Linked DNA regions of Xenopus tropicalis. Each later gene encodes a partner of the first gene's protein in a complex. Links are inferred from orthologs where the notes say so. Each region holds a gene or a part of one and is shown in the gene's direction. Other genes may lie near its edges.

The links.
Region 2: snrpd3 (region 1) and lsm5 share a complex: the UniProt entries of both Homo sapiens proteins name them as parts of the U4/U6-U5 tri-snRNP complex. The link is inferred for Xenopus tropicalis from reciprocal best matches to the Homo sapiens genes SNRPD3 and LSM5.

What each region holds. Positions count from the first base shown.
Region 1 is NC_030677.2:152,603,570-152,611,389, forward strand, and holds the start of snrpd3 (small nuclear ribonucleoprotein Sm D3), read left to right. Parts: upstream 1-3,084; 5' UTR 3,085-3,107; coding exon 3,108-3,233; intron 3,234-5,674; coding exon 5,675-5,867; intron 5,868-7,820. Other genes in the region: protein GUCD1, read right to left, coding at 188-266. UniProt on the Homo sapiens protein: Plays a role in pre-mRNA splicing as a core component of the spliceosomal U1, U2, U4 and U5 small nuclear ribonucleoproteins (snRNPs), the building blocks of the spliceosome.
Region 2 is NC_030682.2:61,891,441-61,899,386, reverse strand, and holds the start of lsm5 (U6 snRNA-associated Sm-like protein LSm5), read left to right. Parts: upstream 1-3,062; 5' UTR 3,063-3,179; coding exon 3,180-3,225; intron 3,226-5,152; coding exon 5,153-5,248; intron 5,249-7,229; coding exon 7,230-7,257; intron 7,258-7,946. UniProt on the Homo sapiens protein: Plays a role in pre-mRNA splicing as component of the U4/U6-U5 tri-snRNP complex that is involved in spliceosome assembly, and as component of the precatalytic spliceosome (spliceosome B complex).

The sequences.
Region 1 (7,820 bases):
GCACACGGTTACACTAGGAGAGGTTAGCCTGCGGCAAGTATTAAGGGCCGGGAAGGAACAAATTAGCAGAACCCGAAACAGATGATACGGGTCCGAGAAGACAGAACTAGGGTTGGTGTTGCCATTCAGCGGCAGGGAGACAGGGGAAGGAGAGGGCGCTGTATAGGGGCCGGGGGTAGATACGCACTGCTGTCTGTGTCCGAGGTACCGGCCGGTCTTGTCGCAGCTTTGCTACCCTCGGGGTCGGTGTGTCCTGGATTCTTCATAGTGCTCTCACAGTGTCCCAAACACTTGGAGTTTCCCTCATACCTACCCCTCCGGGCCGGGGCTCCCTGTGTGTCCGGGGTGGAGCCGGAAGCTGCACGGAGCCTCCCAGGGTGGGGCAGTATTAGCATTTGGCCTCTTCTACCTGCAGTGCTCTTGTTATGGTGGGACTAAGCTTAGTGCAGGGAAGGCTGTACAGTATGTGAGAAAGTGAAAATGATAATGCCTTTAAATCAGGATGGGAACAGTGATAAAGCAATTATAAAATGAAACATAAATAGGGGCAGACTTTAGCTGCGGGTTCAGTCTGAGCCTGCAGATTAGCTGCCTGAATATAGGTGGCAATATACAGACTGATTTCAGCTGCCTTTAGACCCTTTGGAAGCTTATCTGCCCATGTATAGGCACCTCCGATGGGCCTCCCCGACCGACATATGGCCTGAAATCAACCATTAAGGTCCCCATACACGGGCCGATAGAAGCTGCCGATATCGGTCCCCTGGACCAATTCGGCAGCTAATCAGCCCGTGTATGGGCAGAAACGAGCGGCCTGGCCGACCAATATCTGGCCTGAAATTGGCCAAATATCGATCGGCCAGGTTAGAAAATCCAGTCGGATCGGGGACCGCATCGGCTCGTTGATGCGGTCCCCGAACCCCAGGGCCAAATGATCGGATTATTTTTTTTTAACGCAAATTGCTACCCGATATCGCCCACCCGTATAGTGTATGGGGACCTTTAGTCAGGTTTGATTTTATCGTTGGGTCAGGGATGGCATAGGCTCCTTCATGCAGTCCTCAAACCAATGGCGCCTATGCCTGCCTTTAAATTAGATTGTTTTGGCTCTAGGGCCAAACAATCTAATTTTCCTAATATCACCCGCCCATAGGTGGGCATATCGGGAGAATATCTGTTCGCTTTTTGATCTGGTCAAATGAGCGATCTTACCATGCATGGCCACCTTATGGGTCTTGTCCTACAGCCTATCCAATAGCAATCTGGTGAAATATCAGGCAGATGTTGGGCAGGTTTAAAAATCTCATCTGGAGGAGGACTACATCAGATATTTGATATGGTCCTCTCCTGATGGCCTACACAGGCGCCTATTACAATGATCATTTGGCCCTCACAGATCTGCCTGATGTCAGCCACAACTAGGTGGCCATATTGGTTATAGATCCGCTGGTGACCTTCTCACCCAGATGCCCAATTTCTGGCTGCTAGAAGAACAGGACTAATGCGGATTATTGTGCCAATACCAGAATAAGCCATCTTGTTTTTCTTCAATGTGTTTCCACTGTGGCCTATGGCACTATCTATATATAGCTGCTATGGGTAATGTTGTTGTCCTTTTGTGGGAAAGCCAATGGGCAACTAAACCGTGTATGCCATTACCCTTACCTCAAGATTATGTGATGGTTTTACTAGCGCAGCCTGCAATTTTAGGCTAATGGCACAAACAGCAGTTTCAGGCTGCAGTGACAGGTTAATTCCAGTCCTGTATGTGCACATACATACATTCATGGTAGAATGGGGGGTGAATCTACATTTTACAGCAGTGAGCAGGGGTACATTTTTGTGCACAGATGCCATTTTGTCCATTTTACTTAATGTTGCATGTGCTTTCTGGCAGTTCAGAAACAATGCATTCAGCAGATATATAAACAAAATAAGCCTGATCATTCTGGGCCCATACATATGCCAGCGGTCTGCCAATTCAGTTAATAAAGTCAGAATCAGCACCTATTAAAAGCGCAGACTAAAAGAAACAGTCTGATCAGGTGCGGACTGGAAATGGGGCCTTGGCATTTAATTATACGCGGATACCCAAATAGCCCCCTATCACCCCAATAAATAGTGTCTGTGACATCTTACAGCAGCCCTTCTGGCATTTATCACAATCCACAGATTGCACGTCTGAGTCTAATTGGAGGTTTCAGCTCAAGATATTTAATAATAATTCATAATATATAATATGAAAAGTTGCAGTGCAACTAGCCGCTCTTAAATGGTGTGAATAGATAAATGGGTTGATGAGCGGAACTAAGTCACTCATATCTGTTTCCCACCGGAAGTTGTTTGCTTGTGCAGTCGCCGGGAAAAGGGGGCAGAGAGATACGACAGCCTGTTTCCTTTCGCTGTGCATTGTGGGGCAGGCGGGACGCCATTAGAACGCAGAACAGAGCCACGCTAGTAAGTATTACCCAAAGCAAACAAAAGTTCGGTAAAAAGTCTGCGCTTTGCAGGATTGTCAGAGAGGCCCGGGGGTTGCAGCGTGCGGATATCTGGGCGGGGTGTGCGTCTCGGTTACTCGGCGCTTGTTCGCTTTCCCTTAGGTCTGTGCGGTTGGCAGCTTTGTATGAGTGTGAGCAGGGCTTCCCTCTAAATATTGCCTTATGGTGAGGTTATATACAGGGTGCCGGGCCCAACGCATCTCACTGTGTTACCAGTCCGTTATCCGTTTCTATAAATATTCCTGCCTTAGGCCGGGGGCACTGAAACGTTTGTGTAGGCCTCAGTGCCAGTATCCCAGGGAACTCATTCATTGAGGGTTACTCCTCTGCTTCTGCGGGTTGTGCTGCTGCGATGTCCTAACGTGCATGTGTTTCTGAAGGGCTGGGCATGTTTGTGTGCATATGTATGGCTGAATTTATAGACTGTAAGTGATTAAAGCTTTAGGCTGGATAAACATTATGTAATAAGGATTTTTATTTGAATATACCTTATAGTTTGCACATGGCTGCATTGTATGCAGTAACCTGCGTTGCGCTTTGTATGTTCTCCACGTTTTTTTGCTAATTTTTATTTCTCCAATTGCAGGTTAATCTCCATTAGCTCTCAATATGTCTATCGGTGTACCAATTAAAGTCCTTCATGAGGCAGAAGGCCACATTGTGACATGTGAAACTAACACCGGAGAGGTATACAGGGGGAAATTGATTGAAGCAGAGGATAACATGAACTGCCAAGTAAGTAAAATAAGCAAGTCATTCGTATTATATCTATAGCAAGTGCACCTAAACTTATAAATATTTACCTTATGCCATGTTTGTAAGTACGTTGGTGATTGCAGTATAAACTCTAGTGATAGACCTTATGGACCAACAATTGTAAAGGCTGTGTTAAACTAAAAATGTGTGTGTGAATTGTTAGGGGCAAAGTATTTTCCAAAAGGCACCTATTTATTCCCTATATAGTGCCTCGGTTACCCTATCCATTGCAAAAGAAGCAGTTATATTGTGGTCAGAAGCGTAAATAGCTTAAAGGAGACATGGAAAAATAGGGGAAAAAAAAACCTAATTTTGTAGACAATTATGAACAATATATGCTGCGGGTTTCATTTGGGCTAAAAAATACTCATCTGTAAATATGGCCTCTTTATTGGAGCTCCCTGTAGATCCTATCAGTTCTCTGTCCCTGTTTAAAATGAAGGGTGGGCGTGTCCTAACGGTCCCTGCCAGAAGCACAGTAGGAGGGGGGAAGGCAATCACAGCCCAGCACTCACACAAGCAGAGACAGGCTTCAGTTCCCTATCAGGTCATCCTAGCTGCTGATTGGTTCCTATCCAGCCAGCAGGAAGTGGAACAGATGGGCGGGACTATTAGGGTTTTGGTGGAATTTCTCAATAAAACAGTCCAAAAAACAATTTTTTTTAAACCACAGTCCTTCTATATCTAGAGGAGTATAATTTACTGGTACATTCTTAATTTTTATACAATGTCTCCTTTAATCCTAATCTATTTCAATTTCCTAGCTGTGTCTCTAGATGTCAGTATATTCACAGTAAAGCTCAGTGATAAGGAGCAGAAGTAAAATATGTAAATGCTGTTGTTGCTATGCACTTTTAAACTGTTAGTTACAGGAGCCTAGTTAGTGGGGTGTGGCTACACCCGTATTGCATTCCTGTTGTGTAATTTAAAAAATATTTAGGGTGACAATTTCCTTTTGCTCTTTTTACTAAGCACTCTTCTGTTGTTCATGTATAAACTTCTCTTTTAACATGGAGAAAAGTCTCCTTTATCTACCCACAGAAGCCAAACGGTAACATATTTTGGTGTTCCTATTCTTTTAAACTATGTAAGTGTTTCAAAGTAATCAAAATACGATGTAGTGTTACCCTGCACTGGTAGAACTGGTGTTTGCTTCAGTAACACACAGCAGCTTGGATGGCTGCCCCCACTGATACTACTATAGTTCATATAAATAAGCTGCTGTGTATCAGTGGGGGCAGCCATCCAAGCTGGGATAAACTGAGTAAGGGCTCTGGCACACGGGGGAGATTAGTCGCCCGCGATTAACTCCCTGTTCGCGGGCGACTAATCTCCCCGAGTTGCCTACCCCTGCCATCCCACCGGCGAACATGTAAGTCGCCGGCGGGATGGCAGACGCGGCGGGGCGATTTCCGGAAATCACCGAAAAAGACTTGCGAGTCTTTTTCGGCGATTTGCGCGAAATCGCGCCGCCACGTCTGCCATCCCGCCGGCGACTTACATGTTCGCCGGTGGGATGGCAGGGGTAGGCAACTCGGGGAGATTAGTCGCCCGCGAACAGGGAGTTAATCGCGGGCGACTAATCTCCCCCGTGTGCCAGAGCCCTAAAGGTGCTGGTTACATAAGCTGTATTGTATTTTACAGAGCTTATCTTTTTGTCACCTGTGCCATTCAGCCCTCTTTGTTTGAATAGCTGCCCCCATGCAGCTTTATTTCTATAGACCAGGGTTTCCCAACCTTTTGTACCTGTGAGCCACATTTAAATGTAAAAAGAGTTTGGGAGCAAATGAAGCATAAAAAATTCTTTTGGGTTGCCAAATAAGGGCTGTTATTGGCTATTTGGTAGCCCTTATGGGGACTGGAAGCCTACAGGATTGTGCTGGCAATACAGCTGGTTTTTATGCAACAGAAACTTGCCTCCTTACCAGAAATTACAAAAAATAAGCACCTGCTTAAAGTCCACTGGGAGCCACTGGTTGGGCATTACTGGTATAGACTATAGCAGTGTTTCTAAAGCATTTTAACGCAGCTGTATATTACCTTGTACAATAAATAGGTTGTTTTTGGCTATTTTAATTAAAAGGGTCCTCCAGCCAAAAACTGTTTTTGTAATGAAAAAATTTAATTCTACGCAACTTGGATATACATTAAAGGAAATTTAAAACTGCAAAGACTGGTCTTCTAAACATTCTTCTACTGTGTATGAATGTTCTTGGTGCTGTCTCCCAGGAAAAGAACATGGTTTTGGCTATTCTTTGAGCTAAACAAGGGGGAGACATGAGTGTGAAGTCAAACACGATCCCGTTAAAGCTTTATAAATATAAAACATTGTAATAGAATTCCTCACATAGTGCTGTATGTTAAGCCTGTGTCCTTTTTTCTTCCCTCCATGGATGCTTAAATTGTACTTTGACTTTCAGATGTCAAACATCACTGTAACGTACAGGGATGGCAGAGTGGCACAACTAGAACAGGTCTACATCAGAGGCAGCAAAATTCGTTTTCTCATCCTCCCAGACATGTTGAAAAATGCTCCCATGTTAAAGAGTATGAAGAATAAAAACCAGGGTTCTGGTGCCGGCAGAGGAAAAGCAGCTATTCTCAAGGCCCAAGGTAAGTTTTATTTGTGTAGGGGCAGGGTTAACAGGGTGATGTCTGTAAAATTCCATGATCATCATTAAAAGCCCTCCGTTCCCTTGGTTTAAGTTACTAATTGTTAAATTAGTTTATTTTGTTATTGGAAGGAATTGTTTGTCCAAGGAGAATAGGAAGGGAAAAACAAAAGGCATAGAGAAATATGAGAGAATATATTTACTCTATACCAAAAAGTCACACTGTCCTGCTCCCATCACTGTGAGAAGTGAATCAACAGGCAGTTTACTCGCCCTTCAATCACCACACTGTATAAGTTTTGAACTTGTTTAATGATGATGATCAAAAGAAGGTAGAACTGTAGGTACAAACAGTACAATGGTATCAGAATACATTCTGGGTATGTAAAATACAGATATATACAACAGGAGCAAATATAAACATCTTATATGCATTATACAGTCCTAGTGGGGCCTAACAGTTGGCTGCTAAGGGAGAAATAGTGAATCACAACTATAACCAGAATGCACATAACAGCAAAATACACAGCTTATAATAAGCAGGCATTAAACAGAATGCAAACATACCAACGATGCTTGGATAGGCTTGCTTAGAGATGAGTGTGGGTACTGATTTCACCAGCCCTGGCAAAATGACTGTTACAACAGAAACAGCTGCTTCCTCTTGGGACCAGGAAGTGATGTAATCAGGTGGCAGAGCCAATATCAAAGTAAATAATAAACAACAGCAAGGACACAGTACTAGAAGTGGCCAGAGGAGAGAGGGAGGGGGAAGTGCAAGGATACATAAAGCCCAAAATGTATAAGAAATTGTTACATATGAAGAGATTGGCAACACTTGAGAATTGCTGTATCTAAAATGTGGACAGAACTACTGCTGTGGCAGCACACACACAGCAGGGTGAACCCCCATAAAAAGAGCGCGTCTCAGCGTTTTATAATCCCAAGTACATCAATATTGGATACAAAATTTAAAAAGACAATTTTCCATTAAAACCTGCAAAATATGGGGAACTGCAGGCATATAATAGTAGTCTTAGTAATCAGTCAAATGTATAGAGGTAGCAGGCAGACAAAGTACCTGGGTACATATTCATATCCCAGTTATACCAGTGTATAATGAGTTAATAAACCGGTTTTGTTAAAATGATCTGACATTGAACAGGTATTAAAGATGACAAATAGCAATATGATTGCACCTCAGATGCCTTTCGCAAAGTTTATATTAACATCAGTCCTGTTACCCACAGCCTTTACAGTCTCACCACTGGGGACTGATATAGTTTGGCTTTAAAGGAACAGTTCAGTGTAAAAATGAAACTGGGTGAAATAGACTGTAAAAATGAAAAAATATTTGTAATATAGCTAGACAAAAATGTAATCTATAAAGACTGGAGTGAGCAGATGTCTTAACATAATAGCCAGAACTCTACTTCCTGCTTTCAGCTCTCTAACCTCTTAGTTAGTCAGTGACTTTAGGGGGGGCATATGGGACATAAATGTTCAGTTTGTTTGTGAGCAGACGGGTCAGATTCAAATGCAAACTAACTGAACAGTTATGCCCCACATGGCCCTCCCTCAAGGCACTGATTGGTTACTGACTGCAAACAGCTGTAAAGGAGAAAGTAGTGTTCTGGCTTTTATGTTAAACATCTGCTCACTCCAGCCTTTATAGATTACATTTTTGCCTAGCTATATTACAAATATTAATTTTGCCCAGTTTCATTTTTACACTGAACAGTGCTATTATATTTCTGGATGAATGATACCCCACACAAGTTTTGTATTTTGATATTTGACCATTTCTTACAGCTGCATATTTAGCCCACACATTAAAAGATAAGCAGAGTAAAGTTTTCTAAATGCTGGCAGTGGATGAACAAAGCTAGTTTAAACCAGTATCTCACACTAGTTTAGCTACTCAGCAGGATAGTTAACATTAAAGTGAACTGAA
Region 2 (7,946 bases), on another chromosome or scaffold:
CGTGACTCGTCATCGCCAAGTAGTGTGCTGATTGGCTGTTGTGTAGGATTGGAAAGCAGAGCTATGGCAGATTGAGGTCATGGTTTAGCTCCAGAAGATGCCTGGAACTGGAAGAGCTGGATCCGTGCGGCTATGCACTATAAGGAACCAATCAACACGATATTATATTTTTAACAGTACTGTTAAACCGCGTTTGGGCAAAGTAGCATTTTGGCTAGAAAAAGCTGCTCAGTAAAGGTCCAGTAAAGTTACAACATATATTAAATCCTATAATTTTTTATTTGCAGTGTATAAGCTGGGTTAAAGGAGAAGGAAAGTCATTTTGGCATGTTACTGCCAATAGATTTTCCCAATTAGTGCCACCTATAATGCTATATTTATTCTACAGAAAACCTAGAAGCTGTCTCTGTTTGTTTAAGATTGCAGCTGCCATTTTAGCTTGGTCTTTATAGCTTCCTGCTTGCAATTTAGCCTATAGCTTAGATCAGGGTTCCCCAACCGCCGGGCCGCGGACGGCATGGCAGTGGGCCGCAGCGCACCCCCCCAGCACATCGCATGTATTACGCGCCTGAAGTTCGCGCCATGGCCCGCCCCCTCTGCAAAAATATTTTTGCCTCCTACCGGGCCATGGTACTAAAAAGTTTGGGGACCCCTGGCTTAGATTACACATTCCTAAGGGAGGGAGGAGGAACTTTTTGGCATTCTTATGGGAGGGGGGAGCAGAAGAGGGGACAGATGAGAGAACTGCACAGACTCTGGCCCCAGGAATGAAGGATTGTTCTGAGAGAGAAAGTCAGATACCCTAAGAACACATTTACAAAAAAGAGACAAAACCCTGTGTTCTTTTGATAGACCAGACTAAAATGGCAGCTTCTATCATAAACAATGGGAGGGAGCTTCCAGGGCTGTTTACTCAGGTATGGTAAAGTTTTCTGCAGAATAAATATAGTGTTCTAGCTTGCACTAATGTGGCTAATCTATTGGCAGTAAAATGCCAAAATGACTTTCCTTCTCCTTTAAGGAACAACCACTGTTCCAGCCTATTTAAAAACCTGCACACTTTAGAGCATTTTCCACACCCACTACAGTCACCAAACCAAAAGTAGTGTTTAGTTAAAACAAGACTTAGACAATTATTCAGGAATATACAAGACAAGGTGGTAAGTCTCTAACTAATATAACCTGTTTTCTTGTAAATTTTTTTTTTACATAATAGATCTGTTGTGTGTCCCTTAAGTAATTCAAGATATTCAGAACCAAATGTTGTATATACAAATTTAAAAAGGACTGTATACACCCTTTATCATCATTAGTTCAAACACACCTCAGAGAACTCTAAAGGTGGCCATACATGTAAAGATCTGCTCGCCTGGTGAGGTCGCCAAGTGAGCGGATCTTCTCCTGATATCCCACCTACGGGTGGGCGATATCAGGGGAATTATAACGACTGGAATAGGTGCAGTCGGTTCGGGGACAATTTCTAGGACAGATATCGGTCGTGCAGGCCAGTCGTTGTTAACCCTACACGGGCTGATAAGTTGCCGTATCGGTCCAAGGGACTGATATCTGTAGCTACAATCGGCCCGTGTATGGCCACCTTAAGAGCTAAATCCTACCAGTGCTTTTTATCAGATTTTGTGGGTCATATTTTATCTGATCTTGTCATGCAACGCCACACAATGCAATGCAACAGCACAAGATTTTTTAGGACCCTACAAAATCTAATCTGCATAGGCTGTAATTTTAATGTCAGATCAGATAAAGTTGGATTTTTATTTTGTTCATGCACTTACATCTGACAGTCAATGTATTACATTGAGAGAAAAAGAAGTCTTTCCAACACCATCAGTTTTTATCCTTGTGGCTGCAGGAGCAGCATGCAGCATTCCCTTCCGACAGACGTGGTGTTGGATGGCAAAAGTTACTACCTCACGTTTTTGTATCAGTCATTATATTTTGACCCACGTGATTACCAATCCACAGGTAAGCCCTTGACATAATTATTTGCTCTTTATCTCAAAGCTTAAAAAAGGCAGCAGTTGAGAAAAACTAAATGAAGGCTTAGGTAAACAGAAGGTTTCTAAGTGATCTTAGCAGGAAGTTGGGAACTGGTTCTGGAAATTTCAGAATGTTAGGTTTCAAAACATTGAGTTTTAGTAAGCAAATGACACACTGTCACTCTACATGCAGAAATCTTGAAATTAGGTAGAAGTTTTAATGACAGTTACAAAAACTAAACTTTTTTGTAGCAGCAGAGACTTTGAATGAATCATGCTGAATTTTTAAAGTTTAAATACAAGTAGTTAAAAAAAAGGTGACTAATATCAATCATCTATGGCCCTCAACACTATGCTCATGTAATGTGCAGGAACCAAGCAAACTGTGCAGTTGTTCAACACCTTGGAGGGCAGGCAAGCAGCATAATGCCTCTAAAGTACAGTATCAAGGGGTGGCTTACAAATTCTTGTCCTCTAAGATAAAACAATATTTATGAGTTTTGTAATTGAACACTACCCTACAAAAAATTAAAACAGAAATATATAATTTTCTGGATAAAGTATATCCCCTATAAATGCTAATGTTTAGGTACAGAAGTGACTGCAATCCTTTCCCCTTTTAGTTAAACAAAACACAGGCCAGAGGTACTTTCATGCCTCCTAAGAGCTGATTCAAGCTGAGCACCTGCTACATACAAAAACATCTGAAAAAGTTCTATACTTCGAATGTACTCGTCTAAGTTGGCACCTGGGCCCCCGTAATTTGTTCTGTATTGATCGGGGCTCCTATTAATTTACCTAAACGTGAGTGGTTGAAGTGGATGGTTAATATGCTGTACAGAGTCCAGAGCTGCTGGTTATTCTACATCTGACAAAATACCCGGCCAATTAGCAATCGCAATGAAGCCAAGCCGATTTTTTGAACATTCATTATTCTGGCGCAACAACAACTTTTGCAATCATTGCTTTGAAACATTCTTCTAGCCACGCCCACGTCCCCTGTTCGCTCTCTTCCGCCATATAAGGCCTTTTTCTGCTCGTCTGTTGATTAATCTTCCCTAACCAGGAAGTTTTTAGCGCTTGCGCTCGACTGCATAATGAGATCGGCAATCGATTGCTCTAGGTAGGTGACAGCGGGAGATTACGAAAACAGGAGGAAATCCGAAGTAAGGAATATCAAAGATGGCGGCTACCGTGACTCCCAATCCGTCGCAGCTTCTCCCGCTCGGTAAGGACTCTAGGAAATATGTGACTAGATCTATTCCAGTTCGAGACCTTTAGTGTGCAGTTACTAATTGGCTTTTATCTTCAATGGCGCTGTCCTATTTCATGCGACATGCTTTCTTTGAACTCATATTTGTTGTAGAATTCTGATATGTATGTGGCTTACTAGGGTTGTGAAGTACAGATGTAGTGTACCTGGAGTTAGCACTGTTGCTTGGGTTAAACAGCACCTGCTAGGTGACGTGCTTTAGGTTATCGGGCAAATGATGGAGCCGCATGGCAGCCCTGCGTTAGACAATTTATATTTTATACTGAACCTTTTAATTGTAAGCAGATAAAAAAAGAACAGAATTATTTTCTAGTTGATTTTTAGTTTACCTAGGAAAACTGTACATCATTCTTTTCTTGAGAACCTGAGCTCTAAATCTGAGTTTTTGTGTATTTCCACTTCTGGAACAAGATTTAGAGCTCTAAAGGCAAATAAAAGAAAAAAAAAAAAATATGATTATAGGGATTTATACCAGAAAAATCTTTTATTTTATGGATAAAATTTCAACTTATTCAGAAAGCCTAATATCTCTTGAATGTGCCTATACTAGGTATGTATAATTTTATGGAGATGTCTGACTTCTATAGATCGAAAACTCCCAGCAGTAAGTTATTGAAAAAAGTGTTACAGCAGAATAGGGCATACTTTAGATTCCATAGCCAAAAATCCTGAAACATTAGGTTTACCCCAGGATACCATTTATATTTTTTAAAAGTGCACATTCAACCAAATCCGAAATAGATAACCGTGTCTTTCTACTCTAAATGACTCCAAGGGGCTGATTTACTAATCCACGAACGGTCCGAAAGTGTCCGAATGCGTTTTTTTCGTAATGGTCTGTATTTTGCGATTTTTTTCGTAAATTGTCGCGACTTTTTCGTAGCCGTTACGACTGTTTCGCAAATTGTTGTGACTTTTTCGTTGCGTTACGACTTGCGCGAATTGTCACAACTTTTTCGTAGCCTTCGCGCCGAGTACGAAAGTTTCGGATTCATTCAAGCTTCAGTATCGTGACTTTTCTTGGGCCAGGTTGGAGCTGCAGAGTCCTATGGGAGGCTTCCAAAATCATGCTAAGTCTGAAAGTTTTGCCCGCAGTTTACGAGCGCTCAATACGAAAAAGTCGCGACAAGATACGAGCAAATCGTAACGGCTACGAAAAAGTCATGACAATTTGCGCAAGTCGTAACGGCTACGAAAAAGTTGCGACAATTTACGAAAAAGTCGTAACGGCGACGAAAAAATCGCAAAAAATACGAAAAAGTTGCAAAATGTTCGTTTTCCAATCGGAATTTTTCCCATTTGGATTCGTGGGTTAGTAAATCAGCCCCCAAGTGTCCGAGATGAAATAGAAATGTTCATCTCTGATACTGGCTGCTGCAATAGAAGCACCCGGTATGTGTATTATGTACCATAAGACGTCCTAACAATACGGAGCCCCTCGAAAACCGTATATTTTCCGAAAGTACATATTTTTATTAAGGCAAAAATGGCTAAATACATCTTTCTACTGCAAACTACCAAACAAAACTATGCTTTTTTTCTTTTTTTTTTTTTTTATTCCTGAAGGTTTAAATCAGTGGTTTTCAGACTTAGGTTTAGTCGCCCTCTTTCCTTTCAGTTATGCAGCTTAAGATCCAAGTACATTCAAATACATTTTTATACTAAAATGTGCTTTTAGTCTGAAGTTCAAAAAATATTTGACAGGCGATAAGTATTTACCACCACAATTTAGAAACCTTTGATTGTTCAAGTTTTACTTTCAAACCTAATTAATATATACACAATGTAAAATTATTTTTTGTATTTTAACATGTATTTTTACTTTATTTTTGCCTTATTTTAAAGTGTATTCTTAATTTTTTTTTTATTTCTGATCTTGCAGAGCTTGTGGACAAGTGCATAGGATCTCGCATTCATATTGTTATGAAGAGTGATAAAGAAATTGTTGGAACACTTCTTGGCTTTGATGATTTTGTCAGTATCCTTTGTCTGCTTACGCTTAGTTTTTTGTTTATTGCTTCAGTTATACTAATTTAGAATGTACCAAAATAAAATACCGATTTACCATCAGCAATAGACTCCATTCAGCATTCTAGATCAGCGTTTTTCAACCACTGTTTGTGCCGCGAGATGTTGCCTGGTGTGCCGTAGGCAGGGCCGCAATTTTTACTTTAAAAAAAAAATCCGGGCCCTGTCATTGGTTGCGCCCCGTGTGTACGGGTGACGTCAGTACGCACGGGGCGCAACGTTATAAAAGGGCCTGTGTGCGGTCGCGTGTAGGCAGAAGTGCAGAGGCGGCGCGCGTGAGGGGAAGATGCTGCTGAAGCCGCCGAAGAGTAAAATGCTGCTGGGCACCAATGTATTAGGGGGGGCCACGGGGCACACTGACTTATGGGGGCACTGCTGCTGGGCACCAATGTACTAGGGGGGCACTGCTGCTGGGCACCAATGTACTAGGGGGGCACTGCTGCTGGGCACCAATGTACTAGGGGGGCACTGCTGCTGGGCACCAATGTACTAGGGGGGCACTGCTGCTGGGCACCAATGTACTAGGGGGGCACTGCTGCTGGGCACCAATGTACTAGGGGGGCACTGCTGCTGGGCACCAATGTACTAGGGGGGCACTGCTGCTGGGCACCAATGTACTAGGGGGGCACTGCTGCTGGGCACCAATGTACTAGGGGGGCACTGCTCTTGGCACCAATGTACTAGGGGGGCACTGCTGCTGGGCACCAATGTACTAGGGGGGCACTGCTCTTGGCACCAATGTACTAGGGGGGCACTGCTGCTGGGCACCAGTGTACTAGGGGGGCACTGCTCTTGGCACCAGTGTACTAGGGGGGCACTGCTGCTGGGCACCAATGTACTAGGGGGGCACTGCTCTTGGCACCAATGTACTAGGGGGGCACTGCTCTTGGCACCAATGTTCTAGGGGGGCACTGCTCTTGGCACCAATGTACTAGGGGGGCACTGCTGCTGGGCACCAGTGTACTAGGGGGGCACTGCTCTTGGCACCAATGTACTAGGGGGGCACTGCTCTTGGCACCAATGTACTAGGGGGGCACTGCTGCTGGGCACCAGTGTACTAGGGGGGCACTGCTCTTGGCACCAATGTACTAGGGGGGCACTGCTCTTGGCACCAATGTACTAGGGGGGCACTGCTCTTGGCACCAATGTACTAGGGGGGCACTGCTGCTGGGCACCAGTGTACTAGGGGGGCACTGCTCTTGGCACCAGTGTACTAGGGGGGCACTGCTGCTGGGCACCAATGTACTAGGGGGGCACTGCTCTTGGCACCAATGTACTAGGGGGGCACTGCTCTTGGCACCAATGTACTAGGGGGGCACTGCTGCTGGGCACCAGTGTACTAGGGGGGCACTGCTCTTGGCACCAATGTACTAGGGGGGCACTGCTCTTGGCACCAATGTACTAGGGGGGCACTGCTCTTGGCACCAATGTACTAGGGGGGCACTGCTGCTGGGCACAGAGTTAAATTTTTTAACATTTTCTAATGGTGGTGTGCCTCGTGATTTTTTTCATGAAACAAGTGTGCCTTTGCCCAAAAAAGGTTGAAAAACACTGTTCTAGATGTTATAGTACAACATTCTTTAGTTTTCTACTATCGGCTCAACTGGGAGTTGAAGTTTTGCATTGTCAAAAGCACATACTTATGTATCAGCAGAATGGGATTAAACACTGGCTGGGACTGTGTCTTGCTCTCAGTTCCTCTGTGATTTGTGCTTTTTGCCATCTGTGCATGGGCAAATTGACCTGAGGGCCAAAGCTGGAAAGTGTACAATCAACAGCTAAGTTAGCCAGAGTACTTTATAGGCTTACTGGGGATCTTTGTCATAGATTTTAATGGCATAAAATAGCATTCTTCCGCATCTGTGCTTCTTCATAGTTTTTCCTCAAACCACATAGAACCTCATACTTTTAACCTTGATTCATTTCTTCAGACATGGTGCTAGAAGATGTTACAGAATTGTAAGTACCGTTCCGTCTGGATACAGATTTTTTTTATTCTATTTGCACTTGCTCAAGAACTTCTTTACCAAGATACAGTAATTTTTATACCAAGCAGTGCATTGTTTCATTCTTGAGATCTGTCGAATAAAAATAATATTCATTTTATTTGCATTTTACATACAGGTATGGGGCCTTTTATCCAGAATGCTCGGGACCTGGGGTTTTCTGGATAAGGGGTCTTTCGTAATTTAGATCCCCTTAACTTAAGTCTACTAAAAATCATTGAAATATTTAATAAACCCAATAGGATTGTTTTGCCTCCAATAAGGATTAATTATATCTTAGTTGGGATCAAGTACAAGGTACTGTTTTATAATAACAGAGAAGAAAGTAATCATTTTTAAAAATTAGAACGGGTTTCCTCTAAATATGGAAGTACATTTTCTAAAATATGAATCTGCATATAATAACTTGACACTAACTTTGACTAAATAAGACAAACAGTAAAGAATGATCAAATTGTGACCCCACTACTGATTTCTATCATATTGTCACTAATCTGTAAACCTGTATCACTGTATATAGTCTAGCAATTTGAGAATTGTATAAAGTAGAAGCAATGTACCCTGTGATATTAACAAGAGAAAATTCTTGAAAGATATGTAACAGAATATTTTTTTCTGTTTAAAATCAATAAAAATCATTTA